Coturnix japonica: one gene and its partner. The protein of the gene in region 2 purifies or fractionates together with the protein of the main gene of each other region. This does not show direct contact. Links are inferred from orthologs where the notes say so. Each region holds a gene or a part of one and is shown on either strand. Other genes may lie near its edges. The genes, in order: KIFAP3 and KIF3A.

Region 1 (10,970 bases), on a different chromosome or scaffold from region 2:
TTTCCTGTGGCATTCTTCACAATGCTTTTACCTTAGTGATGTACTTTTGATGTAGAAGTTGCATTTCATAATTAAAAGTCTTGGCCTGTTTAATCCAATTAGCTTCTATTGACAAGAAGAAACTCTGGCATTTAGTAGTCTTTTAGAACGGTATAGAATATACGCCTTTTGTATGTAGAGCAGCTGCTGTGAAATTAAATCTTGCAAAGAGAACTTGACTCTGAGTCAAGAGTAATATCAAATTATTGGACTACGTTAATGCTTTTGTTATCAGCTGCTTAGTTTCTTCCTCCATGGAATTGTTATGCATATTGCAGCTTGTTCTCTGTAAGGTTTAATAATCTTCTGAAGAAAGAAGTAAAATGACATAATGCTCCCTGTATTGGAGTTCTTTTTGTCTCTCTGCTTTACGTCATAGAGGTATAGGATGGCAATTGTTCCTCACTAATCAGTAGCTGTTAACATTTGTTAAAAGCGGGATCTCAACTAAGATGCATTAGTAGTTGTTTCTGAGGGGTATTACCAGGATCAGCCACTTCCAGAGACCTCTCCCAGGGAAATGGTAGAAAGAGTTTATCCATTGGATGAAGCTGAACATTTATCAATGTTTCCAACACCTTTTGTTGCTTTCTTCTTTCCCTTCCTTACAGCCAGTGCAGTTTCCAGGTGTCTTAGGGGCTGTTATGTTTGTTAAGGGAAGCTGTGCAATGTGGGACTAATTTTTCAGTAAGTAGATACTGCTGTGTTAGTAGTTTTATTCAGCAGCCTTTGTTTTATGGAATCCAGAAGAATAAGTACATAAAGACACAGCTTCACATCCAGCATGAACTTGAGAGTAAAATCTACTTGGCTTCCTTTCTTTCCTTGGCTATGTTAGGGGCTGGTAGCACTCCATTTTCCACTACCAAAAAACCACAGGCTGTAAAGGTAACTCATCCTAGATGGCAAATGGTGAATCAGTAAGGTCTCAAAACCCTCAGGTCTTGAAAGACATCCTGCAATGTAGATTCTATTGTATGATAAAGTAGGCTCTGAACACTGAAGTATTCAGCTGCATGGTGTTCTTACACTGCCAGTACCTTCTGAAGTGTCTGAACAGACATAGTCTCTAGGATTGTTGAAATTTCTTATCAGTGCTAAGTCCACAACAAGAGAAACTTAAGTTTGCAGTCTTGTTCCATACATGCTGACAGGGTTAGTTCTTCTGATATTGGAATTCAGAAAGTAAAAGATGGAGAAGAGAGATTTGATAATAATTTCTTCTCGAGGAGATAAATGCTGCTTTCACTCATCCATAAGCTCTATGTAGTGTGATTGAAATAACACTGTAGAAAATCAGATGCCTTATAAGCCTTAGGGGAGATGTGCTTTCTATAGTAAAGTAATTGTCACAGAAATTATGGAAATGTTACACTAGTGATGATTTGTTTAGTACAGTTTGGCTGGACTCTGCCATTGATGAAGTGAAACAGATGTGTTGCTTTAGCATAATATGTTCTGGGAAGCCTTGGCTTTTTGCTGGTGCAAGCAAGATACTGCTTTTGTTTAAAAATCTGTGTTGATAATTTAGAAAAGCTTTGGTTTAGTGTCACGTGCTGAGCCTTAACACCGAGCAGTTAACTGAGTGGAGCTGTACACCTACAGCTGGACAGGTTGTACGGCTCAGCTGAAAGCCTGGAATCAACAGCGGGCTTCTCAAGCAAATGAGGTTTGCCATTCCTCTGGTCCTGGACATCTGTTCTTGATGCTTGTGAAATAAATGTCAGTTTACTCAAGAAGGTTTTACTCTGTTCACATCCGACAGTATTATCAAGAGCTGATGAAATTATTAATGGCTCAGCTTTCTTGTCTTCTGTTCTTTGCTTTCCCTTATTGCTATTAAATGCTTTTCTTAGTTTATTTAAAGGATATTTAACCGTAGTCAGGTCTTTAGACTTCAGTCTAATGAGCTTTCCCACTCACCAGTTTTCAGACAGATTTCCTGTTTGGTTTTTTTTTTTTACAGCTTTGAATCCAGGCCCACTGTACCATCTTATTTCCTTTATGATGTAGAGTGAATTATTTTCCTTTGTGCAGAAGTAAAAAAAACAAAGATATAGCTACAGCACTGTGATCTAATGTCCATATGCTTAAGGTATTTTTAAGGTGTGGTATTTTGGTTGGTTTTTTTTTCCAGCTCTCATTGTTTTTCCCAAAATACTTGTAATGAAAGCCAAGCGATATTTCTCAGGTGGAAAGCTGTGTTAATGAATAGTTTGCATCTTTGTCTATTAACCAGACACTGTGACCCAAGTTCTCCATGTTGCAGATGCTGGAAGTTCACATAAGAGGCAGGAATGTGCTGTGAATCCTCAGGGATTTGGGGCCAGCTGTTCAAGATGTTGACCAGTGCTCTGAAAATCAAGGAAGACCAGACCACAGGGATTTGGCATGGGCTTTATTTGAGTAGGCACTGTATTCTGAACACAGATAACCTTTGACTCCAGCCCGGTGTCCTCCTTCTGTGTGCGCTGTACTCACTCCAGGAAAAGAGTTTCTACCTTCATTTGTCAAGGCTCCTTATTTCCATGCTGTTGTGTACCTCTGTTATCTTCTAACAGTCGTGAATGCAGAGAGGTGGGCAGTAGAAGCAAGTAGGATGTGGGACTGCTGGCCGTACTGTTGACTTGTATTTTCATTGTTCAATTTCTACATTATGAAATTAGAAATCAGTCCACTTGGGTGCCAGTAGCTTTTTGTTGCAAAGAGCATCCAGCAGGAAGACTCCACATGGACTAGACAAATAACCACCCTACAGGGAGTGTAAAACAGGGCATGTGGGTTCTGATTCTTTTGTATTCACCTAAGTGTGCCCATGCAGATTTCCTTCGAGCATTGGTACTTGTTCTTTGGGATTCAGAAGCTAGAAAGGTGAGCTGAACCAGTGGTCTCTTTTCCTTCCATTACAGTTGGCCAATTAGATACCTATAATTTTTTCAAGGAAAAAAGACAAAGTGTTTTTAATGTAGACGCCTAAGCTTAGGGGACGTGAATGTTTCTTCTTTTTGCTACTTGGCCATTAATTTCATTTCGTAGGTTTTTACTTGTCTATCAGCATATATTTAGTGATGAGGCTACTTGCAGAGAGGTTGTGCAAGCAGAAGTTATAGAAGAATTCCTTTTGACCTGTCAGTGAATTGCCCTCTGGTACCACTTAGCCCAAGGTAGGCGTCATAGATGCCCGCAGAAGGTGATCCATACCATCTGTTTCTATCCTTGCTTTATAGAGGTGTGTAGTTTTAAATTACGTGCCTAAATCTTGGTTAGCTAGACAAGATAAATCTTTCCTTAACTAAAAAAGTGGTTAATTTGACCTTTCTTGTAAACTGTATGTTTTAGGAATGTTTAAATAACGAAGAATGTAACATATCACTTTACCGACTACGGCCTTAAATGTAACGAGCATTCAGCTTACTGTATAGCAGTTTTAGTTTAGTATGAGGAATCGCATCAAATGAACCCTATTACAGACCCAATTAAAGGGCAACCACATTAAAGTGAAAAGGAAAATCTGTTTTTCATCAGCTGTGAGAGAACACAAAGCAGATCTGTGTAGCTCTATGTTATCCTATAGTGTGTTAATCAGATACAAGGTGTGACGGAAGCCAGTGACAAAAGGGACCCCTGATAGGGAACAGACACGCTCTGATAATAGGCCAGTTAACGCTTCATAATATTTCAATGGTTCAGTAGTAAACAAAGTTGGAAGCAGAACTTCAAAAAGGATGGCACATTCCTTGCGGAGTCAAACCATACATCTCCCGTGTCACGTTGGGATTTATGGAAACCGAATGTTAAAAACGGTGATGTCAGGGAGCTCCAAAGAGAATAAAATCAACCTTCAGGATTCCTCCTTTTATGTTGCTGCCCATGCTGTATTCGGGGTGAGGGGTGGAGAATGGGCACATTCCATCTGCTGCTTTTCTGCTGGACTGGTGTTCAAAAGCACTGGAGGGGACAAAGCTGTGTTTGTCTCCATAGTGTTTAGTTTTCTGGTTTAATTTTTGCAGGCATTCCTTAGTTTCAAGAAGGCACTTTTAATAGCTGAAAATATAATTACTGGAAGCCTTACTGTGTTTTAGGGAATTGTTTTGCCCTAAATTTCTTTAATTTGGTTTCTTTAATTTGGTTTCTTTGTGCCTTTTGGCCATAGTTCTGCATTTACAGCTTTTCTTCCATTCTGATGTTGTTCCATTAATCATTTACCCAGTGGTGTTTCTGCACATTTCTGTGGAAAATTTACAGACGTACCCTTGATCACGCAGTACTTAAATGAACTTTTTTGTGTCGAGGTTATGTAAATCATTGGAGATTGCTGCAAATCATCCTTTTCTAGGATTGCTGCCAGAATGAAACCCTTGATGCAGCTCCTCAGTGATCCTATTGATGGCGTGGCCATCTCTTTGTTCTTGGTCATTCATGGCGAAGTGCAGGTTACAGACCCAGAAACCAGACTGTCTGTTGGAACTGGTAGCGTGGGATTTGCAAGTGATGTGTGACTGTGTTCAGTCTCAGAACCAATAATCTGCCAGTCAGTTGCTCATCCTGTTTTCCAAAACTTTATGAATGATTGAGGGGAAATACCAGCAGGTTTGAAGCCTCCTAGTGTAAGGAGAGGAATGTAGAACGCATAGGAGTGTTCAGTCTTGTTGCTTTCTAAAAAAAAAGTGGTGTTAACTGTTTTGTTTCCAGAAGGATACGAAGTTAATGTCTATTTGTGGGGGAACGTCCAACCAGTTTGAACGGTAGCATGGAATGGGGCAGTGGGGTTGGCTAAATGGGATTCCTTTGTGTTGTAATTTCTGGGAGGTTAACCCGTTTTCAAAGCTCTGTGATGGTAAATGTGAAGTAGAGATGCAGCTACTGCCCTTTCTGCTTTCGGGAACTTTTAGAAGTAAACAAGGTAATGTGAAAGGAATTCAGCTTTCCCGTGGATTAATCTAATTTACTGTTTGTTTGGTTTCTTTCTTTCTTCCACCCCTTTGCAATTGTGATTTCTGAGAATAGTTTTGCTAAGACTACAGTGTGATCTCTGGCAGTTACAAGGTGTTTCTCTAAAGCTTGTAAGTAATTCACAACTGCTGGGAGCTGATATAATAGTCCACGTTTTAGCTCTGGCAGATGCAGCAAAGTAGATGTTCCCAAGATGGCTTGTCAGGTGGCACTGAAAGTCCTGCTTTCATTCTTTCTTTCCCTGGATCATTTTATAGGCATTGATGCTGAGCCTTCCTTTCCCAGGGATTGCTCTGGGATTTCCATTTAATTGAGAGCTGAAGTGTGTGTGGGGAAATATCAAGAAGCAGAAACAGCATGAGGTGTTCTTTTTCCACACGGTGTGAGGTGTGAGGTTGGTTGCTTTGTTTTCCTCCCTAAGGACACCGCATTACTGTACGGTTGACAGGAGCTTGGAATTTTGCTGCAGGCTAACAGGGACTGGGAGCCTCCATTGATCCCACAGGTGATGCTTGTTCTGTGCGTGGGCGCTGTGCATGAGAGCAGGTGTTGAACAGAACTGCCTGAGTGCCTGGATGGTGCAGAAGGGAACTACTAAGATCACATAACCGCTGCTGATCAGACACGGATTCTAAGAAATAGGGAATGATACCACAGACTGATCATGGCCCCAGATTTGCAGCGTGCATGGATGTCCCATCAAAAAGGAATTCACCTCCTGCTCTAAGCCAGGAGAAACAAACTTCTTGTTCCTCCAAGTAAAACGGTTTTAAGACCCACTGCCATAGCATAATGGTTTGTGGTTGTACAATGCAACGTGATTCCTTGTGGAATCTTGGAGGCTTGAGATAGGCTGGTTAGCAGAGTTGGGGTATCCTCTGCCAGAAGGACTGAACCAGCTTGGTTTTTTTTTGTGTGTGTGTTATCAGCAGTCAGAAGGGTGGAAAAGGCAAAGGCTAGATAGACAGTGTGGTACCCACGTCAGGTTAACAGCAGTGAAGACAAGGTATCCTGACAAGTAAGTTTAAAAGCTCAAATTCAGTCCATAGGGCTTTTAGAAGTTTAACCCCCAAGCTACTAAACCAACTTATTCTGTCTTCACTGCTATTTTTTGACCTCGGGTTGTAGACAGATCTGCTTTTGCATGTCTAGCTGGAGCAGTTTAAGAAGTTACTACTTCTGCAGCCAAGATGTTGTTAATTGTATGAACAATCTTCCCTTCTGGGCTAAGTAAAATGGATTTTAAAAACCTTAAAGTGCTCCAGGTAGATCTCAGAGGGCAGCCTGTCTAGAGCATATGTTAACTATCTTGAGGTAAGAAATGGTTTTCAATTTCTGCCTGTTTTGGAGTTCAGTTAGAAGACAGTGAGGTGGAAGTGCTGAGACCTGCCTTACAGGGTGTTTCTTCCCACAAATAGAAATGCTTTGTTGGTTATGAATGTTGTTCTCGGTCACAATTCTTTGATTAAAAGAAGGTAATAGCCACTGTGCATTATTTGTGCATCTTCTTAAACTGATAATACCTGCAACTTTAATATGTTCACATGTGTCTATAGGTAAACAACAGCCCAGGCAGTCTGTTTTGCTTAGAGGAGCCTTCTAAACAGCTGATTGCACTGACTGCTGTGACTTTTCCTTCTGATATTCCTTTACACTGAATATCACATCATCAGAGAGTGCAGTTATTCCAGCCCAAAATTTCGTGACTACCTTTTGTTTCCATAGTAGTCTATACCTATATCCTGCTTCCCTCAGCATTCTGGAGAAGTTCTTCTCTGACTTTGTCTTTGCTTCCTGTATTCATGAATGTTGTGTGCCAATTTTGTGGGTGTTCAATATTAAAAGTAGCAATTTGTTTTGAAGTTTGTCAGGAAGCTGAGAACTAAATCCTGTTTTTCAGGTGCTCATGAAACAAAGGCTTAACTGGTTTTATCACTACCCTTTTTGTTCTTTTTGAGTAATTAGAACAGGTTGCTCAGAGGGGTTGTGGATGCCCCCTCCCTGGCAGCATTCAAGGTGAGGCTCAATGGATGGGGCTGTGAGCAGCGTGGGCTGGTGGGAAGCGTCCCTGCCTAGCAGGAGGGTTGGAACTACATGATCATAAAGGTCTCCCTTCCAACCCAAAGCATTCTATGATTCTGTAATGAATGCTTGTCTAATGAGATCAAACAGTATTTGGCCAGTGTTAGTGTTTTATTCCTGCAGACCCTCTGAAAATTGGCTGTAATAGGCTCTTCCTGATGGTCCAGGTGGGGAGACCATGATGATTGAACTCCCTTGCTCAAAGCAGGAGAGTTTTCTGGGCAGTGCAGAGTTACAGACCGTGAAGGGAAGATTGTACTGCTGCTGCACGTACAAAACCAGAGCGAGGCCTGGTGTTTGGAAAATATTGCCTTTATTGCTCAAAGCGTTCTACACACTTAAAAGATTTAAGTCAGTGAGTGCTGAAACTTGAATCTTTTGCTGATGTTAAATTCCTCTGCTATTTCCTGTTAAACCAAACAGGTCTTTGTCTATTCTTCATCGCAGCCTCTTGTGTGGTCATTTTTGGTTTGGTTTTTTTTTTTTTTTACTAACAGGAATATGATGAGGAATGGGCGAAAAAAATCCAGAGTGAGAAATTTCGATGGCACAACTCTCAGTGGCTGGAGATGGTGGAGAGTCGGCAGATGGATGACAGTGAGCAGTATCTGTATGGGGACGATCCTATTGAGCCCTACATCCATGAAGGAGATATTCTGGAAAGACCTGATCTCTACTACAACGCAGGTAAGAGCACACGTTGGTATTCAGCGCAGGGATAGCTGCCTCTCTTTGTATTTGAAACCAGGATCTGGCCTGTTGCTGTAGGAAGAATGCTCAGAGCAGTGGTAAAACTGTCTCTGTGTGTCAGTGGGAGCAGTGCTGATGCATATTTGCTGGGGATTTGTGTCCTCCCTCCAGGGGTTGCTTTTGCCAACCCTTTCAGGTACAGTATCAGCCTGCAGGGAGATCTCATGAAATAAGTTACCCACTGGATTAATGTCTTCATAGCCTTCAACAACTAGGGGTTGGCTTACGCATTCAAGCTTGTGGTTTTATTTCCTTTTCAAACTCCTGCATAGCTGTGTATGTGCGTGTGGCTTTTGAATTTTCCATACAAGTGTCCAGTCCTTTGCTATGAAGCATGAGTCACAAAACTCTGACTCTGGATGGATTTGCAGGAGTATTAATAAGACAAACAAAACCACTGAAATCAGTCAGCTTTATTTGCAGTTACTGTGAGAAAATTAATATGCAGTATCTCCATAGCATTTAAAAAGTAATTCTCAAAATAGATCAGAATTCAAGGATTCTTATTCATCTGTGTGGCTATGTATGTCAGCCGTAGCAACTTGCCTCTCCAGTGGTAAGGCTTTTCTTTTTTTGTTCTCCTTTTTGAATCCTGCAGCTTTATTTCACAGTACTTGGACCTCCAAGATGAGCGGTGTAAGCTATGTGTAGTATGGTACCAGGCTCTCTAATTACACCAAGTCGTCTTCAGGCTTCCTGAGTTGGAGGCGTGACAGTGTGCCTGTTGTGGTGCCCGCTTTACAGGCAGCATTTCATTTCACAGGGCCACTTATTTCCAAACAGTGTGAGCTGGAAACGGAGTGTCACTGTAAGCAGTGAGTTCCCTGGTTTTTAACCATTTATGTTATGTGCTTAATGTTATCTGAACAAAGATTTTTGTGTTGGAATTGCGACTTGACCAGTAAGGAGGGGCGGATTTCCAGTGATATGTTCTGCAGATGTTTGTAAAACGCTTTTGTTTTGGCAAGTATAAAACTAAGGGAATATATTCAAAATGCAGATTCCCTTCTCAGGTTCCTTCCAGCAAGTGCCAATAAGGACGTGCTTCTAAACTCTGCCAGATTTATACCTTCGAGATGGGGCCAGAAGGGACATAACTCTTCTCTAAAAAGTCTACAGATGGTTGTAGCAGTTGGAGTAGGCAGTTGGGTTTGTGAAAGATGGAGCATTAGTTGATCAGAAATGAGGAAAAATAATAGCTCTTCTTGCAGCCACAAGTGACATGTTTGTATTTTGGTGACCTGTGCTGATAGCTCACACAGTACATATCTGTCCTCAGCTGGAACAATATCAGCTTGCTGTTGACAAGGTGGGTTCCTATTGGAATAATATGTCGAATATCTCTTGAAAAGTGATCTAATCCTACCTCAAAACTTGGTAGAATCTTTGGAATCACCTTTGAGTTCAGTGTCTCCTTTGCTTCGAAGGTACTTAACCCTAATTTGTGTTGAAACGTACATAACAACAGATGGTCCTTTAACTGTAATCGCATTATATGCTGCTGATGGTATCCATGTGCTTCCTTTTTCATTTAAATTCATGGGAGCCATAAGTCTGAGCGCTATGGCTTGTATCTTAGTGAAGACGTTTTAAGCAGTGGTAACTCTGGCCTCACAGTGAAAATATAACGCTTGTTTTATTGATAGAAAAAAGTGAGGTATTTGAAAGCAGATAAACTTCCTATTAAGTTTTAAGCTCACCCATTTAAGACACAGTCACTTAGTGTGATTGTTTTCCCTATGAAACGCTCCAAGTGTAGAAATGCTAATGTGAAAAATACACAGATAGGAAATCTTGGCCTGTATTCATAGCTTTCCTCCCTTTTCTATGGCCCTTCGTCGTTCTTATGCTATCACAGAATTTGTGTCTATCCGAATATGCTGAAAGACAGTAATACAGATCTGTGCCACAATATTTGCTTGTCAAGTGATACCCTTTCACATACTGTACGCACATGTATACAATTAGAATACAGCCATTTACAGCTATCTTATGCTGCTAGAACATAGTCTGACTGTGGCTAGCATTTTCCATTTACAATCTGTAGCATTGTATTGGGTCACTTTCCCATGAGGTAGTATCTCCTCAATGAATCTCCATAGCACCTCATCAAACGTCTGTTGGAAATCTAGATGTGTCAATTCTATTCCTTTCATCATTTGTCACTATATTATCTTCAAAAAACCATCAGGTGAATTCATAAAGCATGGGGAGATTTGTTTGAATGCCTGAGTCGTCATCTTTAAGCCCCTGTGTCTGTAAGTAACTTTCCACTGCTTCCTGCACAGGCAGTTTTAGTGGATTTGAAACCGCAGAGGTTAAGCTGAGTGGCCTGTGATTCCCTGTGTCTTATCTCTCTTACTTTAAAGTGGAATGGCATTTCTAACTTCCTAGTCATTAGGAATCTCTCTCCTCTGGTAAACTATTGAATTGTCCATCAGAATGTACCTGTTTCTGCCTGGTTCTGACTGGGCTGCTTCCTGCTCTGTCAAGCTCGGATCATTTTCATACAATAATGGAAACAAACCGAGACAGGCTCTGTTTTAATTAAATTGTTTGACCTAGTGAGAGCCTGATATTACCAGGTAATAACTGTGCCCTTAATATTAACAAGGAGTGAGTTTTGGGGTTGGGAACAGGAAGGAGTTAAGCTGGGCTCTCATTCAGCTGGGGTCAGTTCACTGACTTCACTTCAAAGACGCTCTGGATTTACGCTGCTGTAAATGGGGGAAGATGTCAACCCCTGAGACTGTAAAGCCTTTAAGGAGTACTACTGGCCTTACATCTTTGTATGCTGATGCCTTCAATATAAAGGAAGCAAAAGAAAACAGTAGTACTTGTTTTTGTGGTTGCATCACATGAGACCACTCTTTTAGGAGATAAGTAGCAAAATGACACTGAAACTGGGGATGTCGGAAGAGAGTTGATTTTGAAGCTGCTTTCCTGTTGGTGTTTCTCATTTGCTTTCTTAGCCAATTTTAAAAGATACTGTGGTGAGAGGCAGAGTCTTGATGAATTAAAACCTTTGTTGCTCTTCTGCTTTTGTGCTGTTACCATAGACATGTGTTTGACCCTTCTCATTGCTTTTTCCTCTGTGCTCACTTTCATTGATGGGGCAGACAGTGTGGGTCTTGATATAGTCTCTC
Region 2 (10,970 bases):
ACCTGCAAGCAGGGCTCTGTTTTGAAAGGAAGTTTCCAAAACTTAAGCAAAACAGCACAGTGAAAAGGTAAGTCAAGCTGACAGATCATCATGAAGACTGTGCTCTATGCCAAAACAAAGCCCTCTGGAAAGAGCAGAACATTTGTTCTCCAAAGCAAGCCCCTGTAACAGGAAATCACCAGTTCCTCTCATCTAATTACAAAGCTGTGCAATTGTTCATTTGATGTTTTTCTCTCCCCCATGGATCTATAAGATATGCAGAGCGCTTTTGTTTTCAGCAGAAATAACAGGAGTTCAAGCCAAACATAAACCTCTGTGATTAAACTGTATACGTTGTAAATGCAGAGTCAGGATGCACAGTCCTAGTTTTCATCTGCTGCTGGTCTGTTGAGTGAAGGATTCAGAGAACTGAGAGTACAGTTCAGGAGAAACACTCCTAAGAACAGACCATTCAACAGAATGGAGCACAGCAAGACATTAAAAAGAGGAAATAAAGTCTGCCATTGTTCTGAGAATGGACCAAAGCCTGCTCAGACCAGAACATTCGTGCCTGTTTCTAAGACAAGATGAACTCTTCAAGAAGAAATCTAACTAGTTTAGATCAGACAGAACTCCTGACTCTTTACCTCTTTCCAAATGCTGGACTAGAAAAAGCTGCCACTGCTCGTATTTGCAGCTCTTACGCATTTGGGTGACAAAGCTGGCTGAACTTCCTCCTCCATGGCCATGATTCTGAGAAATACACCAGAAAAATCACGGGGGAAAGGTCAGAACTCATTTTGAATTGCACTGAATGCTTTTCCAGATCAAAATACGCCCCTGCAAGACCAATTTTAACTGTTACATCTAGAGCTTAGTTACAGACTCACGAGGTGCATCCAGTTCAACACTGTGACAATAAGAAAGGGCTATCTGCTTCTAAGGGCAGTCAGCACTTCACAGGAATGTTCTGGTAATTGCAGACATGGTTACCATCAGGAACGAGACACCCAAGATTTCTTGCTCCTTACGTCAAACTTACGTATCCAGTCTGTGTTATTAATCACAGCTTTTTTTTTGTAACTCTAGGTAACACACTAAGATTATATGGAAGAGAATACCTAATTAACACCACAGTGACATGGGAACTGCTAAGGTACCTGCAGCTGCTGCACTCCAGCAGGTATTAATACAGTGCACAGCCCAAAGGAGATGCATTTTTGTGACACAAAAGCAATGTATTGAGGCGTTCAGTGTCTATTAGCAGCACAAAAAGGAAAGAAAAAGAGCAGCCACCACAATTGGTTATCAGCAGAGACCAGATTTCTTTCCCCTCGAAGCATAGTCAGAAGCAGGAGGTGGTGCACACAGACACGAACAGCATCACCTATTTCAGAGGATGTTATTCTGAGAAAACTGGGAGATTCGTGTCTGTTCCAACACAGGAGAAATTCATCCTCAGCTGTGGCCAGGGATGAGACAATGGAGCCATAGTGCTCAGTCCCTCTAGTATTAAAGCCTTCCCCTCAAATAATGTGTGCTGTCCAGACTACAACAAAACAATGCACACCAATTAAAACAGCTTCCAGCTCAGAAGCATAAAAAGCAGCCAAAGCAATGCAGCAACGCAGCATCTTAAGAGGAGGAAGAGTTCTCTTATCTGTGCATCAGCCCTCACTCTCCACGTTGCCAGCAGATCACACAAATAGACGAAAATCAAAGCATTAGACTACTAGTGTTGCACTCAAACAGAGTATGGTCCCTTCCCACAAACCTCAGACTTATGTAGTTCTAAGTACTCTTCTACTCAACTACTTTTTGTACAGCAAGACTGCAAATAAAGAGAGTTGTGTCTCAAATACACAATATGATCAGCTTAATAACTACAGTGAAATACTCAAATAAAAGGGCTTGATGCTCTTAACTCAAAGGTTTGCAGCAACCGCATCCAAACAGATCAGTGCAACAGAAGACAACAGTGAAAGCTGCCAGTTATGTGCAAAGCAGGACACAGATTTACCAGCATTAAGTTTCAGGATTCCAGCAACCATTTTGAGCTATTATGTCTAGTACTTGAACACATATAGAATCCTTATTTTCTATACATTTCAAGAAAGATTACCAACAACAGTTCCCTGCACAACACATTGTTTAACACATGGAATTTCACAACCATAAAATATACCAGTTTAATATTATGTTAATATAACATACAGTTTACAGGCAACTAAGGAAAAATACATATTTTAATTAAAGCTCCATACCAGCAAGGCATGGATTTCATAGCCACTTCAAACTGTCCCATCTCAAATTCCATATTCTGGCCAAACCTTTCACACTCACTGATTTTTACGGCAATTCTGAACACGTCACACCTACTGCAGCAGAGAGTCAATGACAGCGCTTGGCTTTGCAGAACGTTTTCTGTTTGGAGAGCAAAAAGGAAAAGAGAAATAATACCACACACATCATTATACTGTCCAGGAAAGACAGGGACCAGCCACTTCTCAGGTCACAACTACACATCATTTTCACAAAGGATCAGGAACACCCATGCTGAAATCTTCCCCAACAGACATAACTTCCTAGTAATGAAAGTATATGTGCTGTCAGCGTGTCACTGGTTAAACTGAACCAGCAATCAGTGAAATAAAAACAAGCAGCCAGAAGAGGGGAATGTGAAATCAGGAAATCAAACACCCCCCACAGACCAAACTTTCTGGACAATATTTTAGCACAGTAAAAGATTTCAGCCTGGTTCTACTACACTTGACATCAGTAACCCTTCTATCATGCAGAATTTTAGCATATTGCCTTAGCCATAAGTCTACAAACATTTGTCTCAAGTTTGCAGGCATCAGCTTAAGCCTTCCCCTGGGAAAACTCCCCATTACATACAGATACTCCAAAGTTCTTCACCTTCGACCAGTCTTGGGCCTGGATCTTCCCTTTGAAGTCCTCGGCCTCTCAAGCTTCATCAGAGATTGCCTCAAGCTTTCTTCAGTGTAAGCTAAGTAAACGTGGGAAAGGTCCACCTCAAAGGGCTAAGGAAAAACAGCAAAATATCAGAACTGTTTGGTACACTGATCAGTTGCTCTTTTGTAACACTAGAAAGACTTCCAACAAGAAAACTGAAGTTGGACAGTTTTCCCATGAATACAAAGTGGTAAACACAGAAAGCAGAACTTAGTCCTACAGAGTTCAATACAGGCTTATTAAGAGTTACTCACATCTTTTTCTTTCTTGTCCAGGACAGGAGTCTGTTTCCTCATATTGTTTCCTGTATATGCAACACATTTCTTAAAAACAAGAAAGGTCAGTTAGTGAAATGCAGTCGGTTTTACTGAGCACTGTACAGCTTTATCAGTTTACTTCTGGGCTAGGTTAAATTCCTCAAAAGCTTATGCTAACATTAGCTTGTATGTAAGCTAGCTTACCAGCTGCCATTCTCCAATGTCTTCATTCCAGTGAACATAGTTCTCAATCATTTCCTAGAAAGAAATTAGAGTTACTGTTACAGAACTGCACAATCTACACTCCAGATGTGTAGACAGGTTGCTTAAGAACAGCCTTGACCACTCCAATGTATTTTTAATCCAGACAGCCATACCACATTCAAAACCCCTATTTTGTAATCTGAAGACTAAGGAAACTACAGAAAAACATCACTCCCAAGCTGTGCACAACAAAGTTCCCACTAAAGCATGGATTTATCATAAGTCAATGCAATCATAATAGCAGTAAGAACATTCCACTTATGTACATTCGTACTACAGCTTAACAGAGAAGTGTCAGACAAGTTGACTGTCAATGCCTTTGGAAGCCAACTCATTCCATTTGTTGATGGACTAAATAATGCTAGGGGGCTAACTGAATACTGTATACGACCACATCAAAGGCTTCAGCTCTCAGTAGTACCTGGTAGTCCTGAGGAATGAAGTTGTCTATGATAAGCATCTGAAGACGAAGTTCCCTGCTCAGCTGCCGAATATTCTCCAGTAAGCCTTCAATCTCTCTCTGATGCTCTTGTTGCAGATCTGCCATCTGTGGACAAAGCATATGAGAGGTCAGAATTAATATAAGACACGATAACAACTTAAAAGAACTGTTTTCTGCCTGTATGTTTTAGAGAAATGAAAGCAAACTCTAGTTAGAAGTACCAGAATATTTCTCTCAAGAACAAACCCTCCGAAACATTCTAGCTCAGAGATGGTTAAAAGCAGTATTAAGTTCTTGGCTTCAAAAAAGATGAAATTAGCTGTCAGTCCAAGTTTTACATCAAAAGCAGGCAAAGCGTGCAAACAAATTCTGTATCTGGCAAGATCCCAAGGAAAATCTCAGCTCCCAAAGATAAAAAACATGCTTTCATGAATCAGGGAGCCTAGATACCAGCCAAGTGACATACTGATTGAATGTGACTGAGAGAGAATAAGAGCAACATGCACAAAAAGCAGCAAACTAAGAGCAGATGTGGATTCGAGCAGCTGCAAAGCAGGAGACTGGACTGCCAAACAACTTTAACTTTGCTCAGAAATAACCAATGGTTTTCCTTGAGGAAAAGCTCTACAATGTACCCCTGTGCAGATCTGACACAAAGCTTAATTTGTTCTTTAAAGTTGCGTAAACCGAACAGACAACACACTAGTATTTCTAAACCTGTAGCACTCAAGCCAGAGAGACAAAGTTGATGGCCTGCTCTTTCCACCTACAGTTCCTCCACCACAAGCTGAATGCTTCAGAACACTGACCTCTGATTTTGCAGCCATAAGCATGGTCCAAACTTTCTTCAGCTTTTTTGTTTTTCCCTGTGCTTCTTCCTGGAGGCTGGTATACTTCTCCTCAATGTCCAAGCGTTCTTGCTGTAAAGCAACATTTAACAGATATCCACACATTAGCATAATCAAAGAAAATATTTGCAGCAACATGAACAGGAAGGGAAGCTACTTGGACAAAACAAAGCATTTGCCAAGGGCATGGATACCTGGCTTAGCCAGGCTGGCTGACACTCACAATGATTTCACTGTCCTGCAGGTGAGCACTGGTTATACATGCCTCTAAAATGTTTGATTTCTACTGTGCTTCAGAGTAGTGCCATATTTCATCCACACAAAGAGGCAAAGGCAAGTAACACAGTGTCCTACCACCTCCAGATAGCTGGGAGTATAACCCACCTCCTTCTCCTCAAGTTCCTTGCGAAGCTGCTCTGCTCTCCTCCTTCGTTCTTCCAGCTCCATATTTGATTCTTCTAGAAGCTTCTCTTGTTCTTCTGCTTTTGCCAGCAAGTCCACTCCTCCTACAATCACCTTCTTCTCCAGCGCAGACAGTTTCTCCAGAAGAGACTGGTGCTCTTGTCTAGAGAGACAGAGACAAGTAAAGCTGGGAACTTCCTGTCTCAAGGTGCTCACAAGGCAGCCAGGTTCAGCTCAGTTTTTACAGCCCAGACAGCACTCATAGGGCTTGAAAAACTTGCCAAGCTGCCAAGGGTTTAAAGTAGGGGTGAGGCAGTGTACAAGGATTTCCTTAACTCCAGGTCCCATCACTTTCATGCAAACAAAACCAACTCAGCAAACAAGTCTCTCCTGCTGCAGTTTCCCTCTGTCAGGGGCTGCCAGGCGCCAGTGGTGCTACCAGGATACACAGGGTGCTCCCTCCCTCCCCAAGGGCCCAGCACAATGATGCTGGGATTCAGACATACTGCAACAGGTTGTAATGGAACAGAAGCAAGTGAAACGAGGTCTCAGCTGTGCAGCTGAGAGGTAAGCCAGGAATGTTGAGCAGCCTCTGCTGAGGGAGAGACTGTCCGACCTGTATAAGCAAATGTGATCTCAGCAGCTCCTCAGCTCCAGCATGGAGATCACCTACACACAGTAGCATGCCCACACCACGGGCACGAGCTGTATAAAATTCACTTTGCTATACAGCTACTGCCCACTAGCAAGCAGTACAGCAGTCCTGCTGCTCTTCACTAGTCTTCAGAGTTCAGAGTATTCATTTTAAGTTTCTAGGCCATCTCAACTAGATAAGGCTAAGAGAAGAGTGGTGGAAGAATAATGTTTCTTTTTGCTACCTGCTCTAATCTGCAAGCAGAGAGGAAGCTCTTCTTTCACTCTGATAACAGCAAGAGCTGATGTTCAGCTTACACAAAGCTTGACTAGCATCTCACTATGCATCTCCACATATTGGTATCTGACTTGTAGATTAAGGGAGGAAAAACCCACAACACCGCAAAAACTACTCAGAGCAGGGCACTCACTGAGCTTTAAGCAAATCTTTTTCTCTCTTCTCCAGTTCTGCTCTGGCTTTATTTCTTTCTTCTTCTTCCATGTCAAGCTTAGTTTCAAGAGCTTTTCTCTCCTCTTCAATCTTTGCTTGCATCTCTACCATCTTATCAGGGGAAACTTTCTTTTTGCCTTTCAAAGAAAGGGGGGAAAAATATCACAAAAATAATACGGTCTCTGTATCACAAGTTAAATTAAATGATTAAGTGCAGTTATCAATGTCAGAACTCACGGATTCTGAGATGAGCACATCTCAGTCTTTAAAATTCCATTTTAATGCCTGCTTATTTGCCTCCAGTACTTACAATGAAGGAGTACTATAGAACTATGTACTAGAATATAAAAGCCTGAACAAAATGCATGAAGAATACTTGTGGAAAAGAAACAACGGCTAAGGAGAAGCTTGAGTTGGAATCTTGGATACCTTAACTACGTAGTAGAAGGAAAAGAAAAGACTGGAATCCAGCCTGTACAGATCTCCCCAAATCCATAAGTCTCTCCCAAGTTTTACGACCCCCCTTAATCATTACAAAATGACAAACCCTTCACTTTGTTTCGCTCTTCTCTGGACAGGAGAGAATTATCCACAGAAACCAGATGGCTAGAAACTAATAGAAGCTATCTAGAATTAAGAGGCTTTCACAGTGATGTAATGCATATGGTCAAAACACACTTGAAAATGTTGTTGCTCACTAAAAGGCCTCATTTCCTCCAGTTTTCATGCCATTCACTTTTGTTTATATTCACTTATAACCTCCAGCAGAGGCAAAGATACACTGGCACCTGTAAACATGCATGCACACAAGAGCACTGTAAGGACTTCAGCGCTACAGCAGAAAATATCTTGGTTTCCACCTGCTAAATTTAGGAGCTAGGTACTTAATACTTATTTCTGCATCTGCAGAAACTAGTTAGTTTTCAAGTAACCCAAACTCAAAGTTTTATTTCTCAAGTGCTACGCAGAGATCATCAAATGAAGAGGTGAACCAGATAAAGGTTTCTAACATATTATTACACAGGCCTGTGTATTCACAGTTTTGGAGAAGAGTGAACTACGCTGAGCTGGAGGACCCTTTAATGAGCTCTGCAATTGTATTTCAAGGAGATGAAAAATCTATTAGTGAAAAATCAAAATTACACCAACCTGCTTGATCTTGTATTAAGAGAAAGGAGAAAGCACGTCACAGAGAGGCAGCGCACACATAAAAAGGAAGAAAAGAAATATATTATTGCTTGATCATTTGGAACAAAGTTTATCAGCATCAGAACAGAGCAGTGATTTTACATGCATGTTTCTAGAGTAGAAAACGGGATAATCATCACTAAAAAGTGAAACTCCATTAGAGTGAATATTAATGAATCGTGATCTTGTGCTAAAGCACAGAATGTTTCTGTAACGTCCTTTGCACATCCAGGATAGTTTCAACTCACTCCTGCATTCTCCTGCCCATCCAATGCAATGCAGAACTTAAGTGTAACATTATGAGCCTGCCGCAAAGATCATGCCCTAAGAAACAGATCGTAGATTTCTTCTTGATTAACAGACCTAGTGTTTTTTCCCCTTCCTGAAGGCAGTCAATTCTCTTAAATTACCTGCAAAATCTTAGCACACAGACTTAAGTTTTAACCAAGTTAATCCAAGCCAGTTTTTTGCAAGATAATGACAATTGCACGTAACTTATTAGTAGGTTAATTGGCAGTAACTGATGCTTCCATAGAGGTATAGAGCCAGTTTTGGTTATTTAAGCAAATGCAGTAAAAAAAGCAGGTCAGGGAAAAGATGAAAGGCGCCACATGCAAAAGGGCTACACGTGAGGACAGTTAATAGCCCAAACCACACAGATGAACCACAACAGCTCAGTGCAACTTATACAACATCTTCAGACTTGAAGGAGATGGACTGATCCATCCAGCACCACATCAGTGGTTTGCTGTTAACTGTCCTCATCCAAAGAGGTTGAAATATTCAGGTTTCAAGCAAGCTTTGAAAGAGCAAATTTGAAGCAAGCAGGTTTCCAGGTGTAACACCATTATCCATAGGTCACACTTAGGCTGTGAGTCCTCTTACCTGTGGCCACACTTCCCCTGAGCTGATGCTTTATACCAAAACAACTAGAAAAATTTACATAGGTATAACTATACAGCAGGACCTCCCAGGTTCTCCACACGCAGAAGTGAGGATTACATCTACACAGTATAACCACAACAACTGGTCAAGTCAAGGTCCAAAATATGATTTTTTTGTTTGTTTGTTTGAATAAAAGCATACAGTGATTGTAAGTTGTTCAAAGAAACAGGTTCCTTTCTTTGACCAGCAGCAGACCAAACCTTCCTTGCTGCTAGAAATCAAGACCCTTTGTTCTTCTCAACTATGCCCTCCTGTGGAGACCAAAAACTTAATGTCATGAGGCAGGCTGGACAAAAAGCAGCAACCACTGCCCAGGTTTTGGTTTGTTTTTTGAAGGTCTGCCAAAATAAAACCAAAGTGTTAACGAAGTTTTCCTTGCAAGCACAAAACCTGCATAGCTTAACTGCTGACTGTTCAATCATTCACTCCAAACTTAGTTTTAGAAAGGCAAGATCTAATGCAGTGTAACAGCTTCCAAGAAGAAAGCTGCTCAGACTTCTTTTTGACATTTTCGAGGGATTGTTTAAAAACAGGAATTGCAAACCTTCAACCTAATGTTTCCCAAATGTCCTTAAATCTTGTTAAATAAGCCTACTGAATTGCTCTCCATTCCCATGTCTTGCTGACAACGTGCACATCAAACCACCATCGCAAGCGTGAAAGCAACAAAGGAAAGGCATGCTTTAGCTGAGTTGTAAGTTCAGGTTTATTTATGTTCCAATAGACATAGCAGGGAAGAGTGCAGCATTGCAAAATGAAATGCACAGATCATGGAAAGGCCAAAGCTTAAAGGACTTAAGAGCTCCCACTCACTAGTGAAGGACTTATCCAGAGGTTTCTCTATGACAGAGCATGTGGAGTCTGAACTACTGCTGCTGCTACTGCCTGGAAAACAGAAATGAGTCCCACAGAAAAAACCAGAGAGGAAGAAACATGCAGATGGGAAGTTAGTTCTAAGGAAAAGAAACCCAGAAGAAATGGCAAAATAGTTTTAAAGGCACAGAGTTCTCATTAGGAAGCATTTGCTAGAATCCCTCCCAGACTCAGCTTGCAAAGCCATCGCTTCCAAGCACAGAATGGCATGCTCAGAGAGACAGTTCAGTTAAAACCCATCTTAACAAGCCTACAGCTTAAAATCTCATGCCAAGGCTGCTTCCATTTCAAGCAATAGCACAGAAAAACAGATTGCAGTGAAGGTGGCTGTGGATATCTACATTAATAGAAGATTTGGTGACCAGGAGTTTTTCCACTGTTATGTACATGGCAATGTACATTTAACAGTCTAGAAGAGAGAATCAGCTTACACAGGGACAGTTACTATGCAAGCTCCTGCTGAGCACAGCCTTACTTAGGGAACTTAACTTCCAAACAGGCTGCTCTAGCTAAGTGACAGCTATTTCCCCCCTATTCTTTTCAAGCAGTACTTTGAAGATGGCTTTCTCTTGTGGTGGATTTGGGTAGAAATTATTTCTTGATGGATTCCTGCTTCTAGAAAGAACAAGTGGGGAAAAATGAAGTAAAAGGGTGTATTACAACCAACACAAGGTTCGGAAGGTGTCATTTATGATACTGCTTGGACAGATATCAGAATAAAGGGTAATCTATTTAATGCAGGAATGCTGTTCAAACAGATGTGAGTACCTTAAGACAGGAAGGCAGTTTGAATGACAGCACTTAATGGACAAACTGGAAATTGAAGCACAGCACTGGGCTTGACTTCCCTACTCCCCACAAATAAACATAGTTCCCATGGGTGTAGCAGGCTCCCTACAAGCCACAGTTCTCTATGGTACACCATGACCTGCAAGTCTAGGTTCAGCAGCATTCTCTGTGGCTGACACTACATGCTAGTTTATCACAGCGTAGGACAAAGCAGACTTTGTCGTGGGATTTCCAGAGTGCTCCCAAATAAGGGATGTGTAGCTCCCATTCAGCTTTTCAGCTAGCACACAGACACCCCCAGAGGTCAAGTTTTTCCTCTATCAGCATAAAACAGGATGCCAGAATGAAGCCAGTTACTGAACATCCACAGGACAGATGAATCCTTTGCCTAAACCACAGCCAAAATCCCCATCTAGCCATGAGAAAGGCTATAAAGGAATACATCTGTCTACTACTGATTTTTGGTGTCTTCCTCCTCCCATTTCAGTGAGCAGGGGAAGTTCCACAACATGAGTCACAAGCCATACGCAGCCACCTTGCGGCAACCAGGGAACCACCACAGAAGATGATGTTACCACAAGCACAACTACCCAAGTGGAAGCAAATACCACACAGGATTGGAGCTGTCCATCTACAGAGAGAGCACCAAATAGCTATGTTTCTAGGGAGGCATGATAATTGCAGCGGCAGTAGGGCAGCCCTACAACTCCACTTCTCCCTGCCTGGCTCTATAGTTCCTGACGCTAGCTGCTGGGCAAAAGGAAATTGGTAGCACTGACAGGATTCTCTTCTGCCTTACCCCGACGTTTCTTCCGCTTCTCCCCATCTTCTCCAATCTCCCCATCGTCCTCTTCATCTTCTTCAGATGAAGAACTTGTCTCAGATCCAGATATCTCTTCTCCTAGAAACAGAAAGTATGCTTT

Evidence for each region.
Region 1: the proteins of KIF3A (region 2) and KIFAP3 purify together in Homo sapiens (co-immunoprecipitation; 9 studies listed by BioGRID and IntAct, counting the BioPlex papers as one, with this or other methods). This does not show direct contact. The link is inferred for Coturnix japonica from reciprocal best matches to the Homo sapiens genes KIF3A and KIFAP3.

The regions. Positions count from the first base shown.
Region 1 is NC_029523.1:6,581,050-6,592,019, reverse strand, and holds part of KIFAP3 (kinesin-associated protein 3), read left to right. Parts: intron 1-7,571; coding exon 7,572-7,761; intron 7,762-10,970. UniProt on the Homo sapiens protein: Involved in tethering the chromosomes to the spindle pole and in chromosome movement. Binds to the tail domain of the KIF3A/KIF3B heterodimer to form a heterotrimeric KIF3 complex and may regulate the membrane binding of this complex.
Region 2 is NC_029528.1:1,222,104-1,233,073, reverse strand, and holds part of KIF3A (kinesin-like protein KIF3A), read right to left. Parts: intron 10,949-10,970; coding exon 10,847-10,948; intron 9,271-10,846; coding exon 9,199-9,270; intron 7,411-9,198; coding exon 7,402-7,410; intron 6,390-7,401; coding exon 6,233-6,389; intron 5,332-6,232; coding exon 5,151-5,331; intron 4,839-5,150; coding exon 4,728-4,838; intron 4,024-4,727; coding exon 3,898-4,023; intron 3,471-3,897; coding exon 3,417-3,470; intron 3,279-3,416; coding exon 3,210-3,278; intron 3,024-3,209; coding exon 2,899-3,023; intron 2,404-2,898; coding exon 2,355-2,403; 3' UTR 1-2,354. UniProt on the Homo sapiens protein: Microtubule-based anterograde translocator for membranous organelles. Plus end-directed microtubule sliding activity in vitro. Plays a role in primary cilia formation. Plays a role in centriole cohesion and subdistal appendage organization and function.